2 linked regions of the Drosophila melanogaster genome follow. Changing the gene in region 1 together with any one later gene gives a genetic interaction. Each region holds a gene or a part of one and is shown in the gene's direction. Other genes may lie near its edges.

What was found.
Region 2: of qua (region 1) and spoon, changing one suppresses a phenotype caused by changing the other (phenotypic suppression), as found in Drosophila melanogaster (one study listed by BioGRID).

Annotation. Positions count from the first base shown.
Region 1 is NT_033779.5:17,485,713-17,494,708, reverse strand, and holds qua (quail), read left to right. Parts: upstream 1-2,393; 5' UTR 2,394-2,877; coding exon 2,878-2,907; intron 2,908-4,806; coding exon 4,807-5,016; intron 5,017-5,075; coding exon 5,076-5,278; intron 5,279-5,327; coding exon 5,328-6,252; intron 6,253-6,308; coding exon 6,309-7,307; intron 7,308-7,371; coding exon 7,372-7,569; intron 7,570-7,634; coding exon 7,635-7,748; 3' UTR 7,749-7,903; downstream 7,904-8,996. Other genes in the region: CG43220 (uncharacterized protein), read right to left, coding at 7,930-7,979, 8,055-8,112; CG43645 (uncharacterized protein), read right to left, coding at 8,369-8,412, 8,490-8,556; CG43221 (uncharacterized protein), read right to left, coding at 8,704-8,747, 8,858-8,918. UniProt on the Drosophila melanogaster protein: Required for the formation of cytoplasmic actin filament bundles in nurse cells, possibly by regulating both the polymerization and organization of actin filaments.
Region 2 is NC_004354.4:5,416,720-5,422,746, reverse strand, and holds the start of spoon (spoonbill), read left to right. Parts: upstream 1-2,410; 5' UTR 2,411-2,508; coding exon 2,509-2,553; intron 2,554-3,650; exon of another isoform or gene 3,651-4,430; intron 4,431-5,372; coding exon 5,373-6,027. Other genes in the region: Usp16-45 (ubiquitin specific protease 16/45), read right to left, coding at 1-125.

The DNA of each region.
Region 1 (8,996 bases):
TTATAAAGAAATTATAAAGAAATATGGTTAATATAAGTTATTTCCTTTAAGCTTAACTATAAGTATCTATTAAAATACAGAAAATAAATGCTGTAACTTGTATAGATACAACTTTTAATTGTTCAGTTGCTAGCCATCCCGTTATGTGTGAGTTATGTTAAGTTATACGTTTTTTATGTCTTTATCAAGTGTCGGGTATATATTTAAAATGTCATGTAAAAATCGTTTTTCGTCAGTGATATATGGCATAATATTTCCAACCCACCTCCACTTAACAATACATCGATCATGCCTCAAACTGCCAGTGGAGATTCCCCCCATTGAGAGGAGTCTGTCTGGGACCTGAATCTAGACCAGAATCTGGATCTGGAGCGGCTGGCAATTAATGTGGTCTGCTTTTAGCCCGAAGATCGAGTGGCCACTGACAGCAGCATGCTTGCCATTCCTTGGCCATCTTCAGAATTGGCTAATGAAAAGGCTGGAAAAGAGCAAAGATCCATTGGCACAATCACCGCTAGAGGAAAACATTGGAAAACAATGAGAGAAAAAATAAAAAAAAAATAAGATTCAAAAGCGGTACTTTGCCGGCTGGCCGTTTCCCGTTGGCAGTTGCGGAAAATGAAAATGCCACAAGTCGATGTTGCATTATTGTGGCGCTTTTCAGACGCTTTTCCAGACTTTACGTAAATGTCGCGTGTGGCCACAAAATGGTCTTAATGTGTTTCTCGCAACAATGAGAGAGGCAAACAACAATCAAATGGTTTGCTGCCTTTTTTTCGGCTTAAAAGGAAAAGTCAATTGGCCTGGTCGTTCGTCTTGTTGCGGGTTGACGTGTGTAATTATCATAAATCGTAAATTGCAATTTTTCATCATGCTAAAAGTCGCACATTTTCAGCTGTATACAAAAAAAAATGCTTTGCATTTACAATTTACATTTTCATATACAATTGCTTTCATTTTTTAGTTATGTTTCTCGCCATTTCCCCAGTTCACGCCTCAACCTCAACGGTTGATTGAACTTGTCAGAGTTTTGAGTTGGCCAGAGTTGGGGAAAAAACATCATGGAAACATGAAACATGGCTAGCAAAGAGAGTTGTGTTTTTTGGTTGGTTTTGAAAGGCATCGCATTGTCTTGCCAAGATGCGGATACGTGGATATGTGGATACGCAGATACGAAGATACAAAGCTACAAAGATACACAGATACACGGTTCTCTGGGCCAGACCCATTAGTGTCATTCACGCTTTGGAACACACTGGAAAACCATTTCGACTCATTACCGAGTCATACACAAGACATTTTCGACTTAATTGAGTCGAAACTCGGCTCTGAATTGCTAAACAAATCGCTGCCAAATTGTTCCCCCGAAATAATTTAACCACATTTCTCCGGCGCAGTTGGTACACCCCATCCTCGATCCCCAAAATCGCCCTCCAGTCGTGTTAATTATGGCCATCAAATGACCGTCTGCCAATCTCCAAACATAAATCATAAAAGTGAGGACTCAAGCCAGTCGAGCGCGTCAGCTCGGTTGACAAAAGCCGTAGGAAACCCGAGAGATGCAAATCGATGGAATGTACAACACCGATGTGGACATAAGTACTTCCCCGCCAGCCGAGCTCCACTGTTTGTGCTTGATTGCCTGCGGAGAATGTCGGTGCAGCAGAAAGTGTGGAGTCAGTTTCTGGATACAAAACGATGAAGTGGAGTTCACCTGGTAGAAGAATCAATGCTCTATTAATGGAGCATCGAATGTTACTAGTTCTAAAAAGGTTTTTTACGCATTTAATGCATACTTACATATTCCTTAACGAACTTTAATGCTATAGTTCACATATTTTTGAATAAAGTTCAAGCTTTATGCAAAAATGCAAACATAAATGAATGAACTAGCAATTTCACTTATGATTTTTCAACACATTTCTGAAACCCTTTGATATCAAACTCCTGCCATTAGCTGATGGAGCCAGCAAAACTCGCTCACACAAGCAATTGTTAATCCGCAGAGAGCTAATAGAAGGAATTAGCAAACACCCCGTAAGAATTTGTTTAGACCCCGTTTGCCAGCCTGTTCCCCTTAGCCTTTAGCCCAGAACTCAGAGCTCAGAGTTTCGTTGGCCCAAGACCAAGAGCATGAGCCAGGCCAAGTTAAGGAAACGGCCAAGAAACCGCAACAAAGTGCGCTGCGCTTTCTGCTTTTCTCAGCCAGTTCGGTTGGAAACTGAAAGGTTGTGGAGAGGAAAACCGACAATCTAACTGATAATTTTCATTCATTTCTGAGTCACACAGTCAGTCGCTGGTGGTGCTTCCCACTTGCTCATTTGGCTCGAAGCTGTTGTACAGCGATACACCAAAGCTGGCCTGGCCATAAACTTGGAGCGCGGCATTTCGAGGCGGCCAGTCTGCAGTTGGCTTTCTGCTGGCAAAGACGCTTCGCAAGAGACTCGGGAAAATCTGCTGTGGAAAAAAAAGAACGCGAATCGCGAGTGTCTGTTAAAACGAAAACGAATCGAATTGAATCGAATCCAGGCTAGCATTTGGCTTAACTTTCAGTTTCGCCTCTATTTTGGCTACGTTTTTTGGGATATCAACACCCCCATTCAAAATTTTTTTCGAATTTTATGTATCGTGATTTTTTGAGCGAACCGATCGCTCTCAAAACGCTGCTGCGTGTGTGTTTTTGAAGTGAGTGTGCGGCAGCGACATTCGCTTTTCAAAAGCGCTGGCAAAACGAAAACTCGCAAGGATTTCACTTTGAGCTGCGCTGCTGCCGGCTTCCATCGGAATTGCCATCGGTTTTGTGGGGAGGGGGAGACAAATCAAAACTAGTTCAAGGCAGCTGTGCTGTATCTTTCAGATACAGATACATCCGCGCACATGGAGCTATCGCTGTCACCAAAAGAAACGGTAACTACAGGCTTTTCATTATGCATATTTCGCGTCTCGAATCTCTCCCATCAGCTCTCCTATATTTACCAGTATCTTGGCCAGCCTATACAAGTTTATTTAGCAAGTTTCAGCTGTTAATTACGAGCTGGCAATTATTTGTTTATCAATTACAATCAATTTTAGCGCCTGACGATGGTGTTTGCCCAGGTCTTGTAAGAGATTTGTTGACACCATTATTAGGGGGGAAATTAATAAAGATTTTCGCAAGGAAATTGACAGTCTTTTATTTGATTAAATCAATTGGGCAAATCACTTGCGGCAAATTTAAAATTAATGTATAATTCCTTGTAATACTCAATACTTCTTCCTTAAGTAAAAAAAAAAGGGTTCGATTTCCAAATGAACTTCTAAATTTTCATACCTTGTGCAGTAAAAGTAAGTGTGGTCCAAATTCTTCAAATGTTTAAAACCATCGATGGCCAGCAATTAAACTTTTGAGCATCATCCATCAAGTTAATAGCCTTACCGCAAGGAAAGTAAAAATTTAACACAATAGCTGTCTTAAGATAGATGGGTATCTGAAATTATTTTTAACATTCTATTCAGAACATTTCGGCGATCAGCTTTCGCTTAGATTAATGCTGATAATTGGCGGCTGTGAAAGTCTCTGCTGAAAACAAAGTTTAAAAAAAAATGTTATAATTTGCTAAGCGCTTGACAGAGAAAATTGACTTTTTGTGAGAGAGCATGACAAATGTAGTTTAGCTGTCGGCAGCGAAGATCAATCAATCATGATGGAGCCAGAGAGCTGGAAAACCTGGTTAACCCAAGCGCCCAGTTAAAGTAATCCGAGTTATTTCACCATTCGCGCAGGCGACAATTAAAATGCTTTTATGTTATGTGGTGTGTGCAGCGCATTTTATGCATTGCTTATTTATGAGCAGACCCAGTAAAAGGCAGTCATTAACTATTGTGATTTCCATGAAATGTCATTTGGTGGGAGTAGCAAACGCTGCCAGGCGAAGCATGAACTCGTCTTTGGTCACTGAGCACGCCACCATGTAATCACAAATGAAACGCGGCACACCAGACTCCGATGTCAAAACATTAATTAGCCAAAGAGGCAGCCTGCCTATTGACCCCAAACCGCTAGCCGAGATCACGATTGAAATGAAGATGAAGATGAAGATGCAGTGCGTCTGTGCCTATTGTATGCGTATATGCAACCACTTTCCACTTTGCTGCGTTCCATAAATAAATAAAAACCTAATGTTCGACGGCGGCCAACAAAAACTGGCTGCACCACCAACGTGATGTGGTTGGATGTGGTTCACGGCCCGCCCCTGTTCACTTTTGGTTTTCACTATCACTTGCGCCTCCTCCAATCGGATGCAGAGCACTTCTGCAGACGGGTTCGGGTTTGGGGTTTCTGGTTTTCATTTTTCTTTTGCTAGTTTTGAGCAATTTCTTTATCCTTGGCGTTGTGTCTCAAGTGTCTCATGACAGCAACAATTGGCGATCGTTTGAAAGGTGTTCAATGTCGTGGCAAGTGCTGTTCATGCAACCTGATTGTGACATTGTCACCAACTTGCAGTGAAAACGGGAGCACTGAATGGTAATTGCACATGAAATTTCGTTTAATAAACCTGACTTATTCGATTGGTTCGAGTTGCGTGCCTTTAAGTTGAAGTGCATAATCTCAGGAAAATCGAGAAAAGTAGCCAAGAAAAGGAGTGTCTTTTTCCCATGTAATTTTGAACTCTATTTTCGGACTAAATTAGTAAATTAAATCATCATACGACTGTGTTCCCTTCATAACATATTAAATAGAATACGTAACATCATAATATACCATTAAATAGCATTAAATTCAATTGAACGATCTAAAAATCTTATTTACATATTTACATATTTAAGGAGATCCGTCCCAACACCATTCCGGACTTAAAGGTGGATGCCACATTTCGGAAGGTGGCTAAACATGCGATTACCTTTGCGATTTGGAAGATAGACGAGGATCGCCTGGAGGCGGTACAAAGATCACATTATGGCACCTTCTACGATAGCTGCGCCTACATTATCTATGCAGCAAGTTTGTCGGGGCATTATGCCAATCACGAAACCATCGTAAGTAGTTGGTTTGGCTTGTGTTTCAGCAAGGTTTTAACTAATGCTCATGTTTACAGACACGCGAACAGAAGCCGAATGTGAGTCTTGAGCGATATATCCACTACTGGCTGGGCAAGAATGTTAGCGAGCAGAATCGATCCAATGTTGTTCATAAAATCCAGGAGCTGGACTCGTATCTGGGAAACATATCCTCTATTTACCGAGAGACCCAGAATCTGGAGAGTGCGAGATTCCTTTCGTATTTCAAGAAGGGTTACGAGTGAGTTAAAGTTCTCTGTTCTCTCTCGCTGGGAAGGGAAATAATACAGATTTCGTTTCAGTGTTCGATCGGGAGCACTAATAAGCGCGCCCCAGAGGCCACGACTTTTTCAATTGTACGCCCGCAAATGGTTGCGATCCATTGAGGTGGCCACCATCGATTGGTCGCACTTTAACTCGGATTACGTAATGGTCCTGCAAACGGATAATCTTACCTACGTCTGGATAGGGCGCTCCAGTTCAGGAATTGAACGACGAAGTGCCCTCGACTGGGTCCAAAAGCACTGCAGTGGATCGCCAATCACTATAGTCGATGATGGATATGAGCAGGCCATGTCCCAGGAGCACAAGGAGCTGTGGAACACCATGCTTCCGCTAAAGAAACGCATGGTCTGTCAGGCCAGTCAGTTGGTCAGCGAATACGCCGACTACAATAGCAATAAGTTCCGCATCTATAAGTGCAATCAACGGGGAAGGCTGCACCTGGATCAATTGGATGTGGGCATGCCAGCAAAAGATGATCTAAGCGATGCCCATGGAGTCTATTTACTGGACAACTACGGCCAGAGTATTTGGTTGTGGGTAGGAGGCCAGGCACCGCAGGCAGATGCCCTTTCTGCCATGGGAAATGGGAGAGCTTTTGTTAAAAAGAAGAAATATCCGGATAATACGTTGGTGGTGCGTGTCCTCGAGGGTCACGAGCCCGTGGAGTTTAAGCGTCTCTTTGCCAACTGGTTAAATGTTTGGCAGGAGAACACCAGGGGACATAAGCCAGTGTCCACAAAGTTTGGAAAGCTAGATGCCCATTCCCTATGCGAACGCCCTAAAATGGCTGCAGATACACAGCTCGTTGATGATGGCAGGGGTGAAAGAGTAATCTATCGTGTCTTCGGAGATCAGGTGCAAGAGGTGCCCATCTCAAAAACGGTTGTGTTCACCACCAATGCCAGTTTCGTGGTCAAGTACAGCGTGCAGGTAAGATAATAAGCTTAAGTTCTGTGTACAATCCAATAAATTCACTTCATCTTCAGTGCGCCACCGTTGTTCCCGCAGATTTGGCCTCCGTTGGCATTAAAACAATCATCTACCAGTGGAATGGTTCGGAGGCCTCTGTAGAGTCCATTTCCCGGGCGGACAAGTTCGCCAAGGCCAGTTTTGATGGGCTCAAGGAGCCTGGAATGTTTGTACAGCTCTATGAGTTCGATGAACCACCGCACTTCCTTCAGATCTTCGAGGGAAAACTTATTATCAGGCGCGGTCAGCGTACCGAGATGCCTTACAATGGTAACTCCAATGCCTTGCTGGACACCTTTCTGCTGAAAGTTTATGGCGATGCTAGCTACAATGCCAAGGCTGTGGAGGAGACACATCTGTCATCGATCAGCTCCAAAGATTGCTATGTGATCAAAACGAATCATGTTTGGGTGTGGTGCGGGCAAAGTAGCACGGGAGATGCCCGCGAGATGGCCAAAGCAGTGGGAGCTCTGATGGGGGAAAACTCTCTGGTCCTCGAAGGCAAGGAAAGTAAGGAGTTCTGGCAATCGGTGGCCATGTACTTCAACCAAACTCTAGTGATCAACGGAAATGGGAACTCATGTTCCAGCAGCACCAGTAGCAGCAGTGGCGCCGGCAGCATGTGCAATGGTAGCTCCAATGGTGGTAACATTTCACCCACTCTCAGCAATAATTGTTACCTAAACACCAGTGTTCCGAGTAAACCGAGACCTCCTGTACAACTATTTCTGGTATGGTGGCAACAGAGTTCGCTGAGATACGAGGAGATTCTCGGATTCGATCAGCAGGATCTCAGTTCGGATTGCACCTATATTCTGGACACTGGGAGCCTCACCTACGTCTGGCTGGGATCGCAGGCCCCAAACCAGGAACGCTACACAGCGATTGCCCAAAGTTATGTCCAAAATGCTCCATTCGGACGCAGATCAGCGACAGCGTTGGCCGTGGTCAGGCAGTTTCAGGAGCCAAATGTTTTCAAGGGATTCTTCGAGTCCTGGCAAAACGATTACGGCAAGGTAATCCATAACAAAAGGGCTCCAAGATTTCAAATGTTAACCAACTTATTTTGTATAACTTTAGAACTTCCATTCCTACGAGAAAATGCGCAAGGATCTGGGAAATAAAGTGACCAGCAATTGTTGCTTCGCAAGCGAAGGATCGGCTCTAATCCTGAACAACAGACAGAAGGACTTTGATGGTCACAAAAAGTATCCATTAACCGTGCTCATCCAGGAAATGGATATGCTGCCACCAGATATTAATCCGCTCAAGAGGGAGGTGGGTTCAACTAAACATAGAATGCGAATATCTCCTTTTTTTAAAACGCTGTTTTCCAACCGCAGGTTCACCTAACACACGATGATTTTGTGTCAGTGTTTAATATGTCCTTTTATGAATTTGACGAGCTGCCGAAATGGAAGAAAATGGAGCTGAAAAAGCAATTCAAGCTTTTTTAGATTATAAACATGTTGAAATGCGTGTAACGAGTGCGCACTGTACATATCCTCAATTGCAACACAATGAATACTATGAAGAGGTAGTAACTGTTGAAGCAATTTATGTTAAACATACACATTTTACGTAGATATAATAAAGCAAAAACATGAAATATAAATATATTAACTTATATGTAGGCCATCAAGTGGTTTCGACCTCCTCGGAGTCTGGCTCATCCCCACTACCAGAACCTGGTGGCAAAAATAGGTAAATAATAGGTAAATACATGGCCATTGAAGTTAATATTGAGTCACTACGAAACTTACTAGGAAACAAGAGCCCGAAAAGAAACTCGAAAATTCCACCAAGCAGATCCCAAAACATTTTCGATCCGGTGTTGTCAGCGTTTTGTAACGAAGTACAATGACATTACCGCTCGAGATCGGTTTTGACCCAGACCCCTTTAATGAGCCATGACCAAAAACGCTCAACCAATTCGGACTTAATTCGAATCAGAAATGATTGCATGATCTGGGTCAGAAATGGGACAAATATACGAGTACACATTTGTGTATTGAAAAGCTTTTAAAGGTAAATGCTCATATCAAATTTTTTATTTGCTCACGATCGCTGGTCTATTTCAATTGTAGTTGTCGTAATAATCGCCCAAGTACTCCGCATCAGCTTTACAAACAAAAAATGAAAATAAAATAGTAATATGATTAAAAAGCCCTGTTTTGATAGCATTACAAATTCATTACTTATGTCTGAGAAGAAAAGGTCGTTGAGGAAGCTCAAAAATATTTCCGGCAGCTCACAACAGTCCATATTGTTGGTTGTACTTTGGTAGTTTCACAATTTTCGTTTTGTATTTATAGCATTATTTCAAAGGTTAATTATACTTTGTATGGTTTATTTGGATTAATCCATTTGATAACTTCTATTAGGTTCGCGGATTATTAAAATAATAATAATCTAGGTGCTCGACTCATCGTAATCATCATCTGATGAGGTATCACCTGCAATAATATGAAGTGATTTCCTCTTTATTTATTGATAAATTGACTATAATGTCCGCTTTTTTTTTACTACTTATCCAGCTCCACTTCTCCCATGTCCTCCCACTTACTGCCAAACAGCATATCCCCAATGATTTCGAATATCATTCCAATTATTTCACAATCCTCCATGCCTTTGCTCCTGCTGCTCTTGCAACTTAAACTAAAAGCATCAGTCTTAACAGCATGTTTTATATACGTTTTAGCTGC
Region 2 (6,027 bases), on another chromosome or scaffold:
GTGGTGGGGGTGGCGCCATCCGACTGACCGGGCGAGCCGAGTCCTTTTCGATGATGCAGATCCTCATTGCCGGAATCCGTTGAGCAATCGTGGTCGCGACTGTCCGCCTGACGCTTCTTTACCATGGCAAGGTAGCTGCTTGGCCTTGGCCTCCTTGTGGGCGCGCTCTGGAAGGAATATGTAGCGTTCCAATCACAGATTCAAATCTTCGAATTGCTTCGAATGCAATCGTTATAGTCACAACCCTGCTGCTGCTCTTCCGATTCGGCTATCGATGTGTATAACTGGCAACGGGATTGAATTCGATTGGAACTCGCACCGACAGACTGACCCTATTGGCTTTGTTTGCTTTGTTGTCTTTCGTCACGTTTGGAACTGTGACCCAGGATTTGAGGTTAAGTTCGTCGCCCCGCTGCCAGCCAGCGAAATTGAGTGCCCCCGCTGTTTGACCACCCAAACATACATACATATATGTATTACCCTTTTTGCGATGATTTCTCGAAAATCCAAAGGACCCCGAACTCATACACGCACCCAACCAATCAAGCCCATACGCACGCACACATAGACACGAACTGTGATTACCCCCACACACATGCACAACAGGATCTGAGTAGTACCTTGAATTTACTCGCTGCGATATGCGTTGCACGTAAGCACACAACATATATGTTTTACAGCACTTTTATGCACTTTTTTTTATTCGTATATGCGTAAATAGAAAACGTGAACGACGTGACCAAGTGTGACCGTTGCTTATTTGGGTCGCAACTCCCGCGTGTGGTCAATTTCAAATTTTTAGGCTGTTGCTTCACCTCTCTGTTCGATGGCTTCCTCTTCTTCTGACCGCAATGGTATTCAAGTTTGGAACAACAACAATGTGCAAGTTCAAAGTCAGAAAATGACAAATAACCGAAAGGCACACAAAAAACAATCCTAAACATGTTTGCTTGCATGCCGAGACACGCACATACATCAATATTCATGTATAAACAAGCTTACAGTGTAGGAAATATAAAAAATTACAAAACTAGAACTGTGATTACCCACACACATGCACAACAAGATCTGCCTACTACCTTAAATTTACTCGCTGCGATATGTGTAGCACATGAGCACACAACATATATGTTTTATAGCACTTTTAGGCGCTTTTTATTCGTTTATGCGTAAATAGAAAACGTGAACGACGTGACCAAGTGTGACCGTTGCTTATTTTCGTCGCAAATCTCGCGTGTGGTCAATTTGAACCGTTGTCAGAAACTATAGGGTCTCGAAACATGTGCAAATAATTCATTTATATCATTCAACTTATGCTGCAAATAATTGCTATTATTATTATTTTAATTAATTATCCACACTGCTTATGTTCTTCGCTCAAACAGGAGGTAATTAAATCATTGAAGGGATTTCAAAAATCTATGTATGCATTCACTACTAACTAGCTTGGTCTTTTTTTTATTTTGCGCCGCTTTATAAATTTAAAAAAATATCATTTGGAATTACACACATCACTGTGTTAAATTAAAAAGAAGATTTTTAGTGATTGTTTTCTTTGAGATATTGAAGTCGCTATCTGCTCCTATATAAATATTATTTCGAAATTATCGATTTATAGTGCGCTATACTGACAAAAAATAGGCTGAAATTCGCATGAACAAGCATATTGTGGTAAGACAAAATGAAATCAGAACTTCCCAAGAACTACGTTGGAAAATTACAAATGCCCAAAAGTATTGCTCCACAAAATATCGTAACGAAATATCGCGAAATTTGCAACACTTTTGTGCACATTCGGTGGCAACGCCGCCTAAGAAAATACCTATTGCCCCAATCGATACCTATCGATGAGCGTGGGCAGCCCTGTTTGTGCATGTGCTGCCATTCGATTTGATAACCAGCACTCCGTGCACACGTTTTTCGGCTTTCTAGAAATAATTGGGCTGCGATTCAAACTGTGAAGTGATTTTTTCTATATTTTTTTTTTGTGTGCACAAAGGCTCTTGTAATTCGAGGATTTGGCCATCGCGAGTGCGGGTGATTAAGCAGGCAGCTCCGATTGCCAGAGTTTTGCGGATGCATGGCAACACTGCCGCACGCCGGCCATGTTATTGTGATTTGTAAAAGGTGGAACGTAGACACGTGTTTAATTCGTGCAGCACTTTAGCGTTGAGAAAACGACAGTAAATCGCCAGCAAATAAGCAAAAACAATACACAACTCGCGTGTGCAGTAGATAGCTTTGAAAGCACCCAAAGATAGTGAGCAAAATAAGTTACCCAAGCGGTTCACAAAGGTAAGAAATCGCAGCACGCGGAACATAACCTAGTACAAAAAAAGTGCGTGTGTGTGTTTGCCAAAACAGAGAGATGTGACGGAAAATGGTGTCATGTTCTGTTCTGTGTGGATTTGTTCCAATGTCCGTGTCTTGAGCTCTATTCGCACCTCTTTCCCGGTACCATAGCCAACGTTTTAACTACCTTTTTTTTGTCAACTTTTTGTTAAGTGTATGACTCTGCCTTGCCGCTGTTGTTGTTGTTCCGGCAAAGTGACAGTAAGTGGTTATGGAAAAAATTTGGAGTTCAATTCGGCGATTACACAATGACAGCACTCACACACACACACACCCACAATCGCACGCATACACATGCCGAGCATAAGTGCGTCTGTGTGTGTTACAGCTTTCACCGTTAATGTTCGGTTTTTTTACGCCTGAAAGAGAACAAAGGCGAAAAGGAGCTGCCACTCCCACAAAGAAAACATTGCGTCTATGCATACATACATATGTATACACATATAAAGTAGTATATCCCCCGATTATACAATCCCCGCCCATTTTTGGCCACCATATGATCGGAAACCACGTTGCCAAGATTATAACAATGTGGACTTTTTCGGCTAGCTGGCAATGTTGTTGCACCTGATTTGTTGTTGTTTTGGTGCTCTCTTCTGGCTTGCCTCTCTGTGTCGCTCATTCTCGCTTGTTCGGGGGAATTTCAAATTTTTAGGCTGTTGCTTCACCTCCCCGTTCGACGGCTTCCTCTTCTTTTGGCCGCACTGGTATTCGAGTTTGGAGCAACAACAATGTGCAAGTTCAAAGTCAGAAAATAACAAATAACCGAAAGGCACACAAAAAACATGCCTAAACATGTTTGTTTGCATGCCGAGACACGCAGACACATCAATATTCATGTATAAACAAGCTTACAGTGTAGGAAATACAAAAAAAAAATAACAAAAACTAGAAGACCATTGCGAAGTTGTTGTGCCCTTATCTTACATTTTGTCGTTTTAATTCAAGAGTTGATACGAATACGTGTAAAACTACACTTCTCCCTGCTCTTATGCATATCCATTTATTAAGAATTTTAGGCAAAATGTGGCAAGCTTTGTCAACAAGTTTTAATACTCTAAGCAAAGGGTATAAAACGTAATCTGAAAAATTCCCGTCACCCGGTTTCGACGATTAGGAAATGCCACAGCTGTCTGGCCAGTTGCCCTTCCATGGCCATTTTATAGCACCCCACTAGGCCCCTTATCCCCCACCCCCTGCATGCTCCCATCAACCGTTGATCTGTCGCTATATGTACATTTATACATATACATATGCATATACATATACATATGTACATACATACAATGTATGTTTGTGTTTCAGTTGCTTGTCGATTGAGCTTATCATCTGACCACTGTGTAACAGGAGGACCTTTGGGCCCTAACAAAGTGACGATATTGTGGATGGGGGGAAGCGGGAGTATAGTGGGTAAATCGGTTCTATAGTGAGTAACTTAAAAGTACTAAAGATCTCATGGCTTTAAACTACTGTTCGGCATGACTTGCACTTTTCGGGCCCCGGAAATTTTGACCAAATTCGAAGGAGCGTCTTACAATCCATTTGAATGGATTTTGATTAACGGTTTTCGGATTTCTTTGTTCTAATGAGCTCGCCACTCTCTTTTCTTCTCTCCGGCTTTCTGTCTCGTTTCCGCTTGGTGGGATGAGTGTGTGTGTGGGTGGAAAGGGGCGCTAAATAAAAACTTGCCACCACGCATCCTCTCTTTTTTCGCGGGTTGGTGGGGGTATGCCGATGCGGAAGAGCGGATGGAGTGAAGAGCGGAGAATCGGTGCCGAAATAAAAAAAATAATACAAATAAAAAGCCAGAGGAATTGGCAATTAGAAGGCGTGCAAAGTAGTTTCCCTTCATATATCGAGCAGTCGATATCTCGAATCTCTCGAACAATTTCGCCGGCATATCGAAACCCAACAAAAAAAGAAAGAAAATAAACAAAAGCATAGAAGAAACTCCAAAAAATAAGCCGAAGCGAATTGATGCCATAAAACGACATAAAATACAAACGAAACCGGAAGAAGCAACGAATTCAGTTTTATCCTAGTGGTAATACAAAAACACACATTTATTTTGTGAATAGGTGATGAATTTCTGGCAAAGCTGTTGTTTTCGTAACTTTTAGTTTTGTTTTGTAATGATTTCGTAACATTTGCCATTGCCATACGTAAACGTAACGGTTTCTTCTTGCGCCTCTCTTCCGTTCTTCGCCGACGCTCTTTTGCGTTCTTGCGCACGCGCTCTTTGCATGCGATCTATCGCTCCATCTCTCTCGCTCTCTCCCGTTGCGTTTTTCCCTTCCGCGTGGCATTCAAAAATCGCTTTGCACCTTTTTCGTCGTTCTCTCTCGTTGTCTCTCTCTCTCTCGGCATTTGTGTTGTTGTCTATATTTACGTATTTATTTGTTGCTATTAATACGCAAAAGTTCAGAAAGGAAAAAACCAAAATCAAACACACTGGCAAACACACACACACACACGCACACTTATGCAGACGAGCACATGCAGGCGGGTCTCGTGACTTGCAAAACCAATTCGAAACCTTTAAATAGGTTTTTTCAAATATAACAACATGCATATGTCGTTATTTAAAAAACAACGTTCATGTGGATGGTGTTGACAAATTAGCCCTTTAATCTCACACTTTTCTTCAAAATTGATTTCATATTTGAAATTCTCGCTTAAATTTAAACGCAAATTCAAAGCTCTTTACTTTGTTTTCAAAGTTATTCTACACAAAATTGCATATTGTGTACCGTTTCTTATCTTGAGCCATGACAAGCTTTTTAAAGTAATTATATACGACGCTACTTGATTTGTAAATTGTTGCCCTGATAAGAGGTGTTCACACATTATTTCCAATTGTAAATTAAACAACAAACCATAACTTTTCCAAATATTGCACAAACAAAAGCTACTTCATTTTTATTTCAGTATTAGTGTGATCAAAATAATCCTATTTGTGTGACAGTACACAAGTATATTTTCAAATCGCACAGACTAATATAACTTCTTCTCCCTTTCAGATCTTTCAATATTCAGCGAAAATGGTATCCGGTCGTCCTCTACTCTACCTCTCACTGCCCGGTGTAGCATTTATACTCGGCGTCTTTTGGTTTCGGCGTAGATATAAAAATTGTTTAGACAAGCCCGACGACGAGGACTCATCGGCCATCAATGACTCGTCGATTGAACCAACTGTGCAGGCGCGCAAGGCCAACGGAGTCCTGCAGAATGGCAAGCTGCCACAGCAGTCGGCCAGCAAGTCGATGAACATCAACGGAACTTTAGTTAACGGTAGCGGAAGCGGTAGCGGAAGTAGCAGTGATGAGAAGGACAGCCCCACTACCATGTTGTATGGTAAATCAGCACCAATCAAAATCCAGAGCAATGGACGCACTTCAAATGGCAAGCATCAGCAGCAGATCGATTCCGAAATACTGAAGTCAAAGATACAGGATGCCGAACACAAGACACTCTGCTCCATAGACGAGGATTTCGAGAATCTATCGTCGCCACGTGATTTACCCGATTCGGTAAATACACGCGTATCCTTCTACAATCGTAAGGCTACCCAAAAGACGGTGGAACCGGTGGTGATTAAGGCCACGCGCACACCCAAAATATCGCCAGAGAACTCCTTCCTGGATACCAACTACACCAACAAGGAGTGCGAGCAGA